Linked DNA regions of Lepisosteus oculatus. The protein of the gene in region 1 interacts with the protein of each later gene in a biochemical or structural test. Links are inferred from orthologs where the notes say so. Each region holds a gene or a part of one and is shown on either strand. Other genes may lie near its edges.

Evidence for each region. The genes of interacting proteins can lie anywhere in the genome.
Region 2: the proteins of foxa2 (region 1) and hoxa5a form a complex in vitro, tested with the Homo sapiens proteins (2 studies listed by BioGRID). The link is inferred for Lepisosteus oculatus from reciprocal best matches to the Homo sapiens genes FOXA2 and HOXA5.

What each region holds. Positions count from the first base shown.
Region 1 is NC_090697.1:10,720,387-10,728,101, forward strand, and holds foxa2 (forkhead box protein A2), read right to left. Parts: upstream 3,011-7,715; 5' UTR 2,754-3,010; coding exon 2,685-2,753; intron 1,876-2,684; coding exon 703-1,875; 3' UTR 293-702; downstream 1-292. UniProt on the Homo sapiens protein: Transcription factor that is involved in embryonic development, establishment of tissue-specific gene expression and regulation of gene expression in differentiated tissues.
Region 2 is NC_090705.1:562,674-570,140, reverse strand, and holds hoxa5a (homeobox protein Hox-A5a), read right to left. Parts: upstream 2,826-7,467; 5' UTR 2,818-2,825; coding exon 2,253-2,817; intron 1,510-2,252; coding exon 1,259-1,509; 3' UTR 507-1,258; downstream 1-506. Other genes in the region: homeobox protein Hox-A6, read right to left, coding at 4,480-4,748, 5,159-5,591. UniProt on the Homo sapiens protein: Sequence-specific transcription factor which is part of a developmental regulatory system that provides cells with specific positional identities on the anterior-posterior axis. Also binds to its own promoter.

The DNA.
Region 1 (7,715 bases):
TTACAGTGATTTAGGGTGTTTTCGTAAAGGTAAAATACTTGGTTTTAATTAATAAATGTCCTAACTCTTAAATGAAGCGAACCACAACGTAACACCGTTTGGTATTGAAATAGCGAAAACTATACTGTTTTAAACCATGAAATGATTTTTACCATCGTAGATAAAAATACCTTGTGTTGTTTCATGTTGACTTTATCAAGCCATACTGATGCGTTTCAATGCTGAAATATTTTCTATATAATATGTTCGTAATTACATGAAACATAATTTTACAGAAAATAAGACCAGACGATCATGTTCCCAAAACGTCCAAGTAACACTTTAATATATTCTGCCCTTGTTGTCAACTACAAGAATACACATTTACAAGCCATAAATAAGAAATACACAAACGATAAATTATTCGTCTGAAGCACTTCACTCTCCCAAATTGCATTTTAAATTCAGTATTTACCGTGCCATAATTTGTAACATTGTTGTTTTGTTTTTTGTTCCGTTTCAAAAGCTGCGGTGGGAGTTTGAAAACAAACAAACAAATCTTGTCATATATTAACACCCCTTTTACAAAAAAAATACTAAACAAACTTGACATCTAGTAATCATTGGGAAACATCAAAAAAATATTTTGGAATGCGTGTGCACAAACTATTATTTTACAAAATGTACAAATTGCTGGAAAAGGTCCATTGTGTTGCAGAAAACTTAGGAAGAGTTCATGATCGGTCTAGAATACACACCTTGATAGTAAGACGTGTCAGTGGATATTGGCGAGGTCTCCAAGCCCCCCTTGCTGGTCATCGAGCCCATGGATAAGGCTCCTGTCATGGGAGACCCATACCCAGAGTAATGCATTACCTGCTCATAAGTCTTTAGGTCCATTTTGTGATGCTGCTGCTCCGACGACATTAAATTGTTAATGGAGAAAGGGTGGTTGAAGGAATAGTGATGCTCCGGCTTCAGGTGCGCTTCATGCGCTAGGACGGAGTGGTGTTGCGACAGCAGATGCTGCGCCTGAGATGTCGGGGACGCAGCGTGTTCGGGGCTCAGAGCCTGGCTGGACTTCATGTCCGACAGCGACCTTTTGGGCTCGGTGGAGGAGGACGCGTTGGAATTGGGAGACTCGTTGCCGTTGCAGCTTTCCGAGCTGCTGTTAGATCCGCCTTCGGAGGTCTTCCTGCCGGACTCCTTGGAGAGTTTTTTATCGCACTTGAAGCGCTTCTGTCTCCTCAGGTAGCAGCCGTTCTCGAACATGTTCCCGGAGTCCGGGTGCAGGGTCCAGAAGGAGCCCTTTCCCGGTTTGTCGGGCGACCGAGGCACTTTCAGGAAACAGTCGTTGAAGGACAAGGAGTGGCGGATTGAGTTCTGCCAGCGCTGCTGGTTTTGACGGTAAAAGGGGAAGAGGTCCATGATCCACTGGTAGATCTCGCTAAGCGTGAGCATCTTGTTAGGCGACTGCTGGATGGCCATGGTAATGAGGGAGATGTACGAATAGGGCGGTTTGGCGTGCGTGTAGCTCCTCCGGTACGTTTTCGGGTCCCTCGATCTGTTGATGTTGGACTGTCCGTACATGGGGCTCATTGCGTTCATGTTGGGGTAGGACGTCAAGGCGTTCATGGACGGCGGCTGCGCGGTCATCGGGCTCATGCTGGGGCTGAGAGCCGCGCTCATGCCCGCCATCCCGGGGCCCATGCCGTTCATGGAGCCGGCCCCGGCTGGCATGCCCGTCATAGAGGGGCTCATGCCCGTGTTCACGTACGACATGTTCATGGAGCTCGGTGTCATGGTGGCCGCCGTGCTCATGCCCGACATGCTCATGTACGTGTTCATGGTGTTCATCCCCAGTCCGGTGTTCATGTTGCCAACGGATGTGTAACACTGTGGGAGCAGGAAAAAAAAAAGACACACAAAAGTTAAGTTTTCGAATCACTGGCGGTTGTGTCAAAGGCGCTTAAAACAAACTTGGCACCACAGTTAAGTTTTTGTTTGTTAATGAAAACAAAACTTTAAAAAAAACAAAACAAAAAAAAATGGTGACCCGCGACCTATCATTGATTCGACAAAACGACTTCTATAAATGTTGTTCCTCATCCAAGCGTTGTCTTCGTTCGAGCAGAAAAAAAAACCCAACTCGAATCTTACATGAAACGTATTTAATATTTTCAGGATAATCAAACAAATGTGCTTTCAGCGGCTAATCTAAAATGTATAAAGAAGTCCCATGAGCGAAACTGATTTCCTCAAAGATTCTTTTCACGAGTTCTCCTTAGAACGATCACAGGACGTGAAAATATCAAATTGTACAGAAAACAATACAGAAAGTGTAACAGAAACCGAAAAAGAAACATTGAATGCATATTCATTAAGTAGTGAATGCAACTCGACAGCACTATATAGCAATTACATGTGTATTTTCCACTACAGAATGAAAGAAAGCAATCCTTAAAAAACAAATTATCCATGACTTGTATGTAAGCAGATGAAGTCAGAATTCCAGAAAAAAAGTTTCTTCTTGCATGCCAAGCCCAACTTTGTTAGGATAGCGCAGCTCGGAGATCGGGGAGGATTTGGAGACGCCTCAAGTCAATATTTGATCACAAAGTTAATATTATCTCAGGGCTAATATTGAGTTGTATAAAATGGGATCGGCTTTAGGAGGAAAAAAAAAATATATATAAGCTACCAACCTCGGGCTCGCCGTAATAGGTGCTCCAGTCTGAATGCTCGTGTCCTTCCATTTTAACTGCACCCAGCATTGTGGAAGCAGCGAATCCACCCGGTCAACAGCTTCTCTGGAGAAGGTTTTTTTTTTTAAAAAAAGTTCTCTAGAACAAGACTTCGGACCAACGGTAACCCAGATCGCTGGTCTGCTTTCTACTCGGGGACTCGAGCATGTGTAGATTTCAGACAGTGGTGCCCAGAGGCGCTGAATAGCGTCTGATGATGACAGGAGCTGAAATGACGTTGGTGTCTGGCTGTAAACGCTGTGATATAGCTCTGTGCGCCAGGCGAAATCTCCAATCCCTACTTCTGCGTTGCCCTATTTGAATAATCAGCTCACACCTAGGCGTGAGACTCCCCGGCTTGGCCGCCTATTGTACACCTGCGCTAACTAAAAAGAACAAACCCCATTTGAAAAGATTCATTATAACCTAATCTGATTGTTTTCCAGGAGAAAAGAGTTGAGTTTAAACTGTTGTTGTAAGAAGGCTTTTTATCATGCACTTTTTTTCAGCAGACGGAATTAGGAATGCAGAGAATTGCCTTCTTTTTGACCTTTTTTTGTTTATTGCCAGGAGTGTGGTCTATATTCCCTGTTAGAATCGTCAGAAACAAGACTAGATGTTCACTTCTGCTGTAAAGAATCGAATTGTATTCCATAACATGAGGTCAAACACGAGTAACTTTTCCTTTTTTTTTGTTTTATTTGACTTGAATTTGTTACCGCTTACAATACTGGCTAATAAAACATTTTTAAACAATGCTTTTTATCAAACGCATTGTAATCTCAATAAAACGTGTACGGATATCTCATTTCTTCCAGTTTCAGCTTTCCCAATAGACGATTTACAAGTGATTTTATAAGTATTAAACTACAGTTAATAAATCCTAATATTAGTCGTAGAAGTGTGTTAACATTCATCTACTCATTTCAGCCCTTTTGTCCTTCTAAGGTCATCGTCATCGGATAATATTTTTTGCTCTAATTCGTTTAATCACTATTTTAGACCGAATTCAGACCTTTAACTGTACAACCAATTCATCATTTGCCTGTTCGGTATCATTTTTTTAGCTTGGCTAGTTTTGGCCTAGAGAAAACCGAAAATCTGTTTTTGAAAAACACTATTTCCAAGGTTTGTATGCCCATGACATTTCGCAACTAAGTAAACTAAAAACGCAAAACGAATTACACAAAGCACAACGTGGACCTTGTTTTATTTTCTCTGAAGAAAACAAAAGGAAACATGAAATAGGATTTATGAGTGACCTGTCACCAAAAACAAGCGGAGACAATTCCCCGGTGGACCAATTTTAAATTTGAGCAATATTGGAAGTTATTTATATCAAAATTATATTTCAGCTACATTTTCACAGAGAAATCCAGTTTTATTTTCTCAGTTACAGGAGCAGCATTTGAATTTAGACTCATCTCGCACGCAGCCGCGTCGCAGATCACGAGTCATCATTTTATTGATTCTGGAGAACCCGCAGGCTGTTTGATATATTAAACAAAGTAAAGTTTATTTAATGTGTTTGACCATCAGAGATTTAACAGATCTCTTCAGCGATGGCTGATAAAGCAGGCTTCAGAAAACACTAACATTCTTTCAAGTGAAATTAATCGTGCTATTTCATTGCTAATATATTTACTTATTACACACACCAAACGGGAGAATTCTGCATGGACGCAGTTCTTGGAGTGCCGTAGAAAATCGCTGAGCGTGGATATTACTATACTGATGGTCTTTGAATGTATTTGTAATTTCATATAGAATCAACACGATATCTAGCAGCATTTCACTATGTTTATTGATAATAAACGAGTTCTTTGAGTTCTTTGATAATGATTATGCATGTAAAGATTCGAAGAATTCAGGATTTGAGATTCGTCAACAAAAATAATTTCTATAGTAAACTATACAATTCCTTTTAAATCAAGAATAGAGATATTTTTTTAATTTCGATGGAACCGTATTGAGCCTTGAACCCCAGTACACATATCTTCATACATATTCCATAAGCTTCTCGTTCTAATTTGTCGTTAGAAAACACCGACCGTTCTAAGTAAAAAGAGGTTTTCAAATATTATTTATTAATGATACTCTTGATAATTTGAAGAAAACCAATCTGGGATTAATTCATTTGAGAGCGCCCTCTTTTGGAAATAATACAGAACACAAATGCCTTTATGCACAGGTGGAAACACTGTATTTGTGAACTCGCTGCCCCAGACATCAACGCGGAAATAACGAAACAAATCCGTATTTTCAAATGATTCATTACCGTTTTAAGTACTGCAGTCCTGGAGTCCCGTGATCTATTTCTTCTCTACCTCTTGCGTGATTTTCAGCCTTTTCAAGGTAAGCATGCAATTGTACTGTAGGTATTTGTTTCAGAAATACTCTTATTTCACGACAGCGGCTTGTGTAAAAACAACAACAACTTGCTCTCTTCGCTCAGAGTTCGCCTAGAGCGCCAGCCTGTTTTTACAGGACTCTTTTTGAGGGTCTCCCCAACAATGTCTACCATGGGAATCTAAGACCACCACCCCTCACCCCTGCTCTGAACTGCTCCTCAATTCACTGTATAGATTCTGGGGATTAAGATGCAGGTAACAGTAGTGAGAAAGGGCTGTGCGATTAAGGAGTCTGGTAAAGTGGCAACAATCCCTGCTGTAGATTTCTTCTGTCACACAGATGGCACAGTGTTGTGACCTTTAGCACGTCTGCCTCACAGTTCCTGGGTCCCAGGTGGGACTTTGCGTGTGGAATCTGCATGTTCTCTTCCTGTTCAGGTGGATTTATTTGGGAGTTCTCTGGTTTCCTCCGCCTGTCCAAAGCCGTATTTTTCTGCCATCTCTTAATTGGCTCCTGTATCAAACTGTGTGCCCACTGCCTGCCAAGTTAGGTTCTCACTTGTCATGACCCTGTGTGGGACTAAGTTGTTACCGAAATGGATGGATTATTATTACATATCACATTGGCCAGCCCTTTGTCCCATCTGTCCCACTTGTATTGAATTCTGCGGCAAATAACTTTTATTCTACCAAGTCTTCCGTATCCTCCACGTCTTCCATAATACCGCTGTGTGAGCTAGTGAGAGGTGGCTTTGTGCGAGAGCCACATGTTAATTGGAAAAACCTGGAGAACGAGGCACAGCTATTCTGCCTGAGTAATTGGAACTCAGTGGGAGTGAAATTCCACGTGAGGGAAAGGAGCTGCCAGTATAGGCTCTGTTTGGGATTAACCACACCTCTCGGCTAATTAAAAGGTCACTTAAACCAGCTAGGAGATAAAGGGCTTTAAGACGTTGTCTGCTCTGCGGTCTGGAAGAAGTGAGACTCAGAGCTCTGGAGGCAAATAACAAAGTTGTATATACTTGACATGTAAAGTATAAAACAAAATGCCTTAATGTATAGGGAGTAAAGCATTCCTAAAACAGTATGGAAGACAGTCTCCCAGGTCTTCAGTTCTGTACTTTGGTCCCGTTGCAAACACATGCAATCATCACTTGCAGGTGTAGATGCAAGTCACAGAACTGTTCAGTGTGCAGGTGTCACGCTCGCCTAACGACTGTTGGAGGACTGGATGCCTTATTTACTAGGCAGTGTTCCGGTTCGGGCTTTTGTCAGAAGGGGATAATAGAGATGTGTGACACTGACCCACCTGTCTAGTGCCTTCGTAGTTATATGTAGATGTCCCAAACATGTCCCATCACTGATGTTACAATCAGTAGTGTAGTGTTTCAGAGGTGGCCTGATGGTTTTTCTGTAATATCAGAAGCAGTTAGCAACAGTTCTTGGAATAGTCCATCTTGAAGTACACCTGGTATTTTATACCACTCATAACTGGGTTATCATGGTATCCCCCTGTGTGGGATAGAGTCTTTCCATTTTTGAAATTGTGAATGCTGAATGTGTTTTCTTTAATACTTCAGTTCTCTGGGAAAGAACATACAGGAGGGATTAGACAGCATTTAGGGCTGGGCAGATCTAGATAGAATACATGCGATTCTAGTTATTATTAGTACTACTAGTGGCCCAAACAGTTTAATAAATTCAGACACATATACAGATGAAAAATAATTGATAAAATCATAGATATAACCAGATCCCTCTGAAAAAAATGACTATAATGAACTACAAGCACAGGTTATGCAATGGATGGTAAATCAATAATAAAGGTTTATTCTGTGTTACAGTAGTAAAAGAAGGGTGAGGTAAAGTGTTTCAGGAACAATGATGAAAGTATAGATTGTAGAGAAAGGCTGAAAGAACTAAACCTTTTTAGTCCCGGTCAGAGAACTTCAAAGGCTCTGATGAAATCAACCCACTAGACTTCTGCAGAATCAAAAGTGAAACATGAATCAAAGGATAGAAGTGGAAACTACAAAAATAATACAGTGATATGCATTTACTGTAACCCCAAGAAGGGTGTCACTTTTTACATACAGCATTATGGGAGTCTTAAAAAAGCTAACCAACAATGCCACTGAAGATGATAACCCGGCTTTTTCAAGAAACGACTGAACAATATGATCAAATAGCTACTGGCAGCCAAATGAGTTAGACTGGTCAAACGGACTCCCGTTTTCAATATATCTAGCGTAGTATATATTGCATTCTGAGTTGTGGACCACACAACAAAAAGGTTTTGTTGCCTTTGAAAGTGATTAAATTAAAGTGACCAGAATATTTTTGGATTGTAGAGGAACATCACGTACAAATAGGAAAAAGGAACTGAAACTCTCCAGTCTGAAGCAAAACTGATAAAAAGTCAGGAATGGAAATGATAAGAACAGCCCAAAGATAAAAAAACATATAGAGTAACAAGTGGAAATTAAGGGGAGAAATGGGGAGGATTTAATATGGGAGACACTGATTGGTCAGTCAGTTTGTTAAAGTGAATATTTTGAAATCCTGCAAGCAGGAGTTTATACTGGGTGAAATTTTGTGATTAATTATCTACTAGAAATCATAAAGTCATAAAGTCTAACAG
Region 2 (7,467 bases), on another chromosome or scaffold:
TAAAGTTTACGGCTTTAAACTTAAAGAAGGATTCAGAATGTTGCCATTTAGGATAGAGAAGCACAGACCATCCTTCTGTGTAGTGGTAAGGAGCATTTAGTCTCAGGCGCGTAATTATGGGTGAGTACAGTTAAATCTGTTTTTCGACCTGTTGAATTTCTAGTGAGAAGAAACTTAAGTACGTTAGAGACGACAAACAGAAAAGTCGCGTTAGAGTCTGATAAGTCAACAATTTTAAACATAAATCTAGAACAAATCTGCGGCAATGAATCAATTTTTATGTTTTATCTTTCATTTTGCTAAATGGGTTCACGCTATTCGTTTGGTTTCGTTTTCACTGCGTCAAGGATAACGGCTGTATGATAAAACTAAAGCTGGATTAATTTTAAACGTTTCCGCGCAAGTAGCTGCATCAAGTAGGGCAGTCTAGTACACTCGTGAAGGCCGCATTTTCCCAAATTTGTTTTGAGCACAAAGTGCCGAAATGCAACACACAATACATGAAAAACTGTAGAAAGTTTATTATTTTTATTGTTACTTCCAGTCATTCTTAAAAACAAATACAAAAGCGATCACGATCTGTTCAGACAGCCAAGCCATGACTATGCTGAATACCTTTTCACAAAAACACACATCACTGTCGCTGCGCTTTCAAGAGCAACTTACTGAAGTTCGTGCAAAGAGTCATACAAAGGCACAGCAAGGACATAAAGTTGTGGAATCATTGTTCCCTCACGTGTTCACAACGCACTACAGTTACAGATATACAAGGTAGGTAGTATTTCAGTATTTTAAATTAACGATAGCATTGGTTACAAAGAAAACGTCGATTTTAAGAAACCAGTATTTCCTTGACAGCTTGGAGCTATTTAGACATTCAGCATACAAATACATAACACATATTAGCAACACATATTATTATTTTCGTTATTTTTTTTAATTAGAGTGCAACACATAACAATTGTACTAAACGGATTTTACTGTTACTTTAAGTAACACAAGCTTATTTTGCTCCTTAGTACAGTAAATAAGTTAAAACGTTTACCCCATTTTTTTGTCAACACTAAGCCGATAAAAGACAAAGTTTTACAGAAAGCAGCTGTAATCATACAAGCAAGACCAGTTGAACGGATTAAGGATTAAAAGGCTGGAGCTGAAGGATGTGTTTGACCCAGCGCTCAGGAGTTCTGGAAAGTCTGTCGCTCTGACTGGAACAGTCCGTCGGTTTATTGCCAGTACTTCTTCAAGTGCTTAGAAATTAAGGACGGTACGCGGCTCCGGCTGCTGCCATGCTCATGCTTTTCAGTTTATTATCTTTTTTCCATTTCATTCTCCTGTTCTGGAACCAGATCTTAATCTGTCTCTCCGAGAGGCACAGAGCATGAGCTATCTCAATCCTCCTCCTCCGGGTCAGATACCTATTGAAGTGGAATTCTTTCTCTAGCTCCAGCGTCTGGTAGCGTGTGTAGGCTGTTCGAGCTCTCTTCCCTTCGGGTCCTGCGAGGTTGTCTGTGACACAGAACCACATCACTTACATCACTAGAATAATAATAATAACAACAAGAACAATAATAATAATAATAATAATAATAATAATAATAATAATAATAATAATTGGAAGTGGGAAAAATCACTTACACTGTTTACTCTTAATCAGACATATCCTAAATCCCTCGAATTCACTAAGCACAACAACAATGGCGTTCAATTACAATAAGAATATAGTCACTGGTTGCCTGGTACTACCTAGGCTCCACTGGTCATCATTGGTCAGAAAAGTAGTGAAGAAAAATCACTGATGTATATTATTTTAGCCAGCATCTGAATTTTCTATTTTTGAAATGAACGTTCATTGCCAATATGCGACAGAGAGGCGTCTGTCAAATATATTAAAACTTCTGAATCCCAACCGTCATTTGCAAGAACAAACGCACGAAGACCTCTCTTCAAGGTTAAAATTCGAGCAGATTGTGAGCCGTGCTTTGGGGGATGCCGTTGTGAATCCGCCCCGATAGTCAGCATTCTGCAAACATTTTGTTTGCATTTTCCTGAATGGACACAGAATGTGCATGAAACACCACACCATCCTCAACTTCATGCTGTGGTCCGTCTCGGGCAACCACGCACACTCGGTTAAAACATGCGGTATCATTTAATCCCACCATGCTGCATTTCAGTGTCCAAGGAAAAACAAGTCGGAATAACAGTAACAACACACTGAAATGAATAAAAGAAAAGAGAAGCAGTTTTACCGTGGCTTATGTGCAGCTTTCTCATCCAGGGATATATCTGGGGCTGTGATGTTTCGCTCGCGTTTTGGCCGTTCTGTGAATTTGTCTGGACGCTGCCCGCCGAGTTGTCATCCTGGGGAGCAGGCGGCTTGCCTGCACCGTCCCTGGTTAAGAGAGCGCTGCTGCTGCTCGAACTAGAGGAGGAGGTATTAGGGCTGGCTATGGAGTTTTTAACAGCGCGGTGAGTTTCGCCGAGAGGCGAGCTGGCAACGGAGGAGCAGGGTAGAGGGTCAGGAGGTGGCGAGTGAGTCGCGGAGGCAGGCTGATTGTACCTGGGCTCTGCGGATGCGGCTGTTGCACTAGATGTGTAGCTGGGAGCCCTTTCACTAGAACCAAAGTGACCGGAGGTCGAGCGCCCGACACTAAGATCCATCCCATTGTAACCGTAGCCGTACCTGCTGGAATGCATGGTCGCAGAATCTCTGTATTGCTCGTTCACAGAGCTATGATCTCCATAATTATGTAACTGGTAGTCCGGGCTATTAGGATAGCGACCGCAGAATGAGTTTACAAAATAAGAGCTCATTTGTTGATATTGTTCTATTTTTTTAGAAAAAAAAAGATATGTGTGTGCTTGATTTGTGGTCTTGGTCGTTTTGTGCGTCTATAGCACCCCTGCACAATTTATGATGAATTATGGAAATGACTGGGACATGTACTTGATTCCCTCCTACGTAGGCACCCAAATATGGGGTACGACTTTGAGTCACGTGCTTTTGTTGTCCAGTCGTAAATCCTGCCTGATGACCTCCAGAGGTAAACTCGTGCACAAACAGGAGAGCTGGGTGGATGCCGGCGCCTGGGAGCGCGCACGGGGAAGGGCGCCGCGCTCCGGCGGCTGCTTCAGTTGTCGTCTTGCGCCACCCTCTGGAGACTCGGCCGAACTGCCCGTTTCGATCAGGGGAGTGCGGGCAGGGGTCGAATAAAGGTTAACAGGCATTGCTGCAGTATTACTCGCGTTTTATTCATGATATGATTAATGCAGCCTGAACGCTATGACTTTTTATTGCGCCTTTTCGCCGCAAAAACAAATATAATATTCGCTCCTTTGACAATTTGATATTTCCCGGCGATTACTTCTTCACACTGTTTGGATTGAACCGCAGCCGCGGATGGAATTGTAATTAAATTAACTGTAGTAAGCAATGTAATTCCGCTGGAGAGTTATTTGATCCTTAAGGCTTCGGTTATTTTGTTCTGTTCCTTTTGAGGATATCATATCTTTCTTTAATTACTGTAAATGCGTAACAACATAAAGCCTGCGATTTTTTTAACCCACAACACGGATATTCCTTGTGCGCGCTTTTGTTTTATCTCATAGTTCCTTTCTTACCGCGTTTAGGGTTATAACAGGAATGAATGTTATACTCGCTGGGTGAATGTAGGCAGTGTTTTGCCTAAAGCTAAATCGCTATCTGAAGGCGAGGAATATTCCGGAATATAAGCTAAGTGCTATGTGATAAACATTACGTATATTCTTTATAATGCATTAAGATGAAGAAAAAATAATGTTAAGTATATTTTTTTATTAAAACGTCCCCTGGTTGGATTTGAAATCATTGAATAGTGTAGGGTCCGGTATATTTAATTTGGTCAAAAACGGGAACAGTTATAATTTTGCGCCCATTCATGCTGAAACATAATTACGGTGTATTTTTAAAATATATGATTTATATTAAATCACAGTACCGACACTCGAATCCGTTCATAATAATAACATTTCGCACAGTGTACGCGTTGTATCTGCGGTTATGTAAATTCGCCACATTCCTTGCCTTCAGACGGCGAAACACCTTCACACTTGGTTTCTGGAAAAACAAATTTCATAGCTATTTTTTTAAATAAATCACTAGAGCAATAAAGAAGACATTTTCGGAACAACGTCCGTATTCTTAACGGAAAAGTATCGGAATTATTATTTTTCTAAAACTACATCAAATAAAAAAATGAATCTAACAACAATTATTGGACATGTTCCTAATCTATAGATCTGAATTTCTTATTTCAGTAACATTTAAATATTGCTTACGGTTACTTTTAAATTAAGATATGTGACGCTCTAATTGGATTACATAAAATATTTTTCATTTTTTGTATCACAGCAATAAATAAATATATACGCAAATTAACTAGTAGAATATTGTTCTGAATTTCCACATCGCAGGAAAGGCCTACAAGCACAAGCGGGCTACACAGAGCACTCCCCTGTTTTCTCTTTGACTTCCTCGCTGTTCTCCTCTGCTGAGCTCAGAATTTTGTTCTCTTTTTTCCACTTCATGCGTCGATTTTGAAACCATATTTTAATCTGTCGTTCTGTTAGACAGAGAGCGTTAGCGATTTCAATACGACGGCGTCTAGTTAGATATCTGTTAAAATGAAATTCCTTTTCCAGCTCTAGAGTTTGGTATCTGGAGTAGGTCTGGCGCCCACGTCTCCCGTGCGATCCATATATTGAAGCTGGAGAGAAGGAAAGAATTGACCAGACTATTTTTTACATCCAATGCAGTCCACACCTCATTTTAGATTAAATATACATTTAGTGGCAATCCTGGAAAGGACAGTTATCACCGTAGTACATGAGCATGTCAGAAACTGCCACTCAAACTACATTCAGCTGTACGTTTGCAAACGGTGTAGTTAATCTTGGACACAACACTTTCTATTTTTAGAAATCTAAACTCTTTTAAGTTTTGTGAAGAAGCATAGCCCTGAGATTCACGCTACAAAGTTGACAGAGCAAAATTTTATCAAAAGAGTTTCACGTTTCGTCTACAGAAACTCAGAGGTGCAACAGTAGAAATTATTTCAGCTTCTCGCATAACTTTGCAAAGTTGCAGGAATGATGGCGAGTTGAGCTCTGTACTCACCATTGCAAGAGTTCATCCTTTGCATCCACGGGTGAGCCGATGCAGGGTACTTCCGGTCGGGGGGCTCATTGCCGAAGATTTTGCTTTGTGTACAGTCCGGTTTACAGTGCTGGTCACCACAGAACTGCAGGCAACTGTCGCCTGCCCCCTGCTTGTCGCTGCCCGCGGGGTAAACGCTCACTGGATCCTTGTCTGAGTGATAACAGGACGGCCCATACTCATAAGGCGCTCTGGTGTTAAACACAGTGTTGTGTTGCTGATAGAAACAAGGGGGTGGAAAAGTCTTGTCTGGAATCGCAGAGGGTCCATGAGGAGCTGGGAAGTGCCTGAGTGCATCATAGCCAGATGTGTACAGCGGGATTTGTCCGAGGAAAGAATCCTGCCCAGCGGGAAGGGAGGCAGGGAAAGCTGGGTTCACAAAAAACGAACTCATTTGCGCCACAAACCGAACTATTGTGATTTGTTGTGTGTTTGTACATCTGGCTATAACTATTAGTGGTCGCCCAAGGTTTGTTTCTAGGTGGCTAAGCGCCAAAAGCGACAGCAGCGAATATAACCAGCTGATTGTCCGCTGGCCAATAGAAACCGCTCCACAGAGCCATCACTCCCCAGGGTACTCGCCGTACAACCAGTAAACTTACAAACAGCCTCATCAGTCCAGAACCGGGAGCCGGCCAATTAGAGTTCAATAAGACATTCCACCGGACTGTTTTTGTAACCGAGAAAGAACAGAGTGCAATGATGTCGAAAACGAAAACAGCCTCACCTACACTTTGTGTGTAACTTACTGCTTTCTTCTGTAAATAAAAATACTGTTTTTCAAAGCTCGTATTTTGAACCAAACGACACATATGTACACGTGACTGTTCGGAAGATGCACACAAGTTTAAATGAACGTGTCCAAAAAAAAACATCGGAGTATTTTAGATGTGCGAAATTTAGAGGTATGTATTTTCATATATGAAATACGAATTTATACACGAACGATTGTGAAATCTGCTGTTAGTAAGCTTAGATGAGAATAATTTTCTGTACAATTACCAATTATTTTTGCAGTAGAATTCTAAATCTTACATAGAACATTTGTCAGCTCTGATTGTAAGGCTTGAGCATGTTATTGGTATTAGCATCATTGACGGACTATAATAATTATGTAGATAATGATTATTGTTGCCGTTATACACGTAAATACATTGCTTGCTAGTCATCATTGAAAATGCTTAATGTACCCTGTGTTATGTATTTAAGAGATGACTCTGGGTGACAGCTGGAAAGTCGCAGGCCTCTAATTTCCTCACAGGCGTAAAGAAGCTTAAATAAGCACGTACTGTTAGAAGGCTCGGAGCGCTCTGGATTGCTGTAACTCTAACACAGGATCTTGTGATATTTGGCGGTTGATGGTTTACTGCATAATTGCATTACGTATTGTGTCCACAGCGATCATTACCTCGTGTATACATACGCTGCAAATATCTAAAAATACTCAATTTTGTGCTGAATTGACAAGCGGTGCTAAAATAACGTTTTCTAACCTGAGGCGTTATATTATCTGTTAATTTGAACAAAACCAAAGTGCTGTCCGGTTTCCAAAACAAATACAGTGTTTTGACTGAATATAATCACATTCAAGTGTGTCGGTTTCTTCTCCACCTGCCGTCTTTATCACTTGAATTATTTTTTTTCAACAGATTTGTTTAATTATTCACCGAACTCCGAAGATAATCAACACCAAGGAACCCGAAGCCGAAACTCCAGATGATCAAGACGCAAAAGCAGGCCATGTCTCGAAGCGGTATATTTTGACTGCTCTTTGGAGTTTATTGACAGTTAAATATGATAATTTTTTGTCTAGGTCACAAATTATTAACAATTATTGTATTCAAAAATTACGGAAAGCCTTTGATTTGAATTGATTTAGAATTGATTAGATATCATTCGATCAAAGTGAAAACACGTACACAGTGATACCAGTGAGTACGAATGTTATAACCGTGCACCACGGGTGCGAAGGTAATTAAATAAAGATTAAAAACTAATTAAAGCAATAAGGTCATACAAAATAAGGAAAATCTTAAGAAGAACAGCAATACGAGAGTATGCATTACTTGTATTATGCTTTTAGTAACAAATAAACTTGATAGACCTTTTTATCCTCAACATGGCTGTCTACTTTTGTATCGTATTGAGGAAAATCTTTTTTTATCTGACCAGTAGTTTTGTTAAAATTCGATTAGGTCTGCAATCAAGATTTTATATGCTTTTCGAACTGTGTTAATATGTATAATTATTTTTCTACATGTATTTTTGCA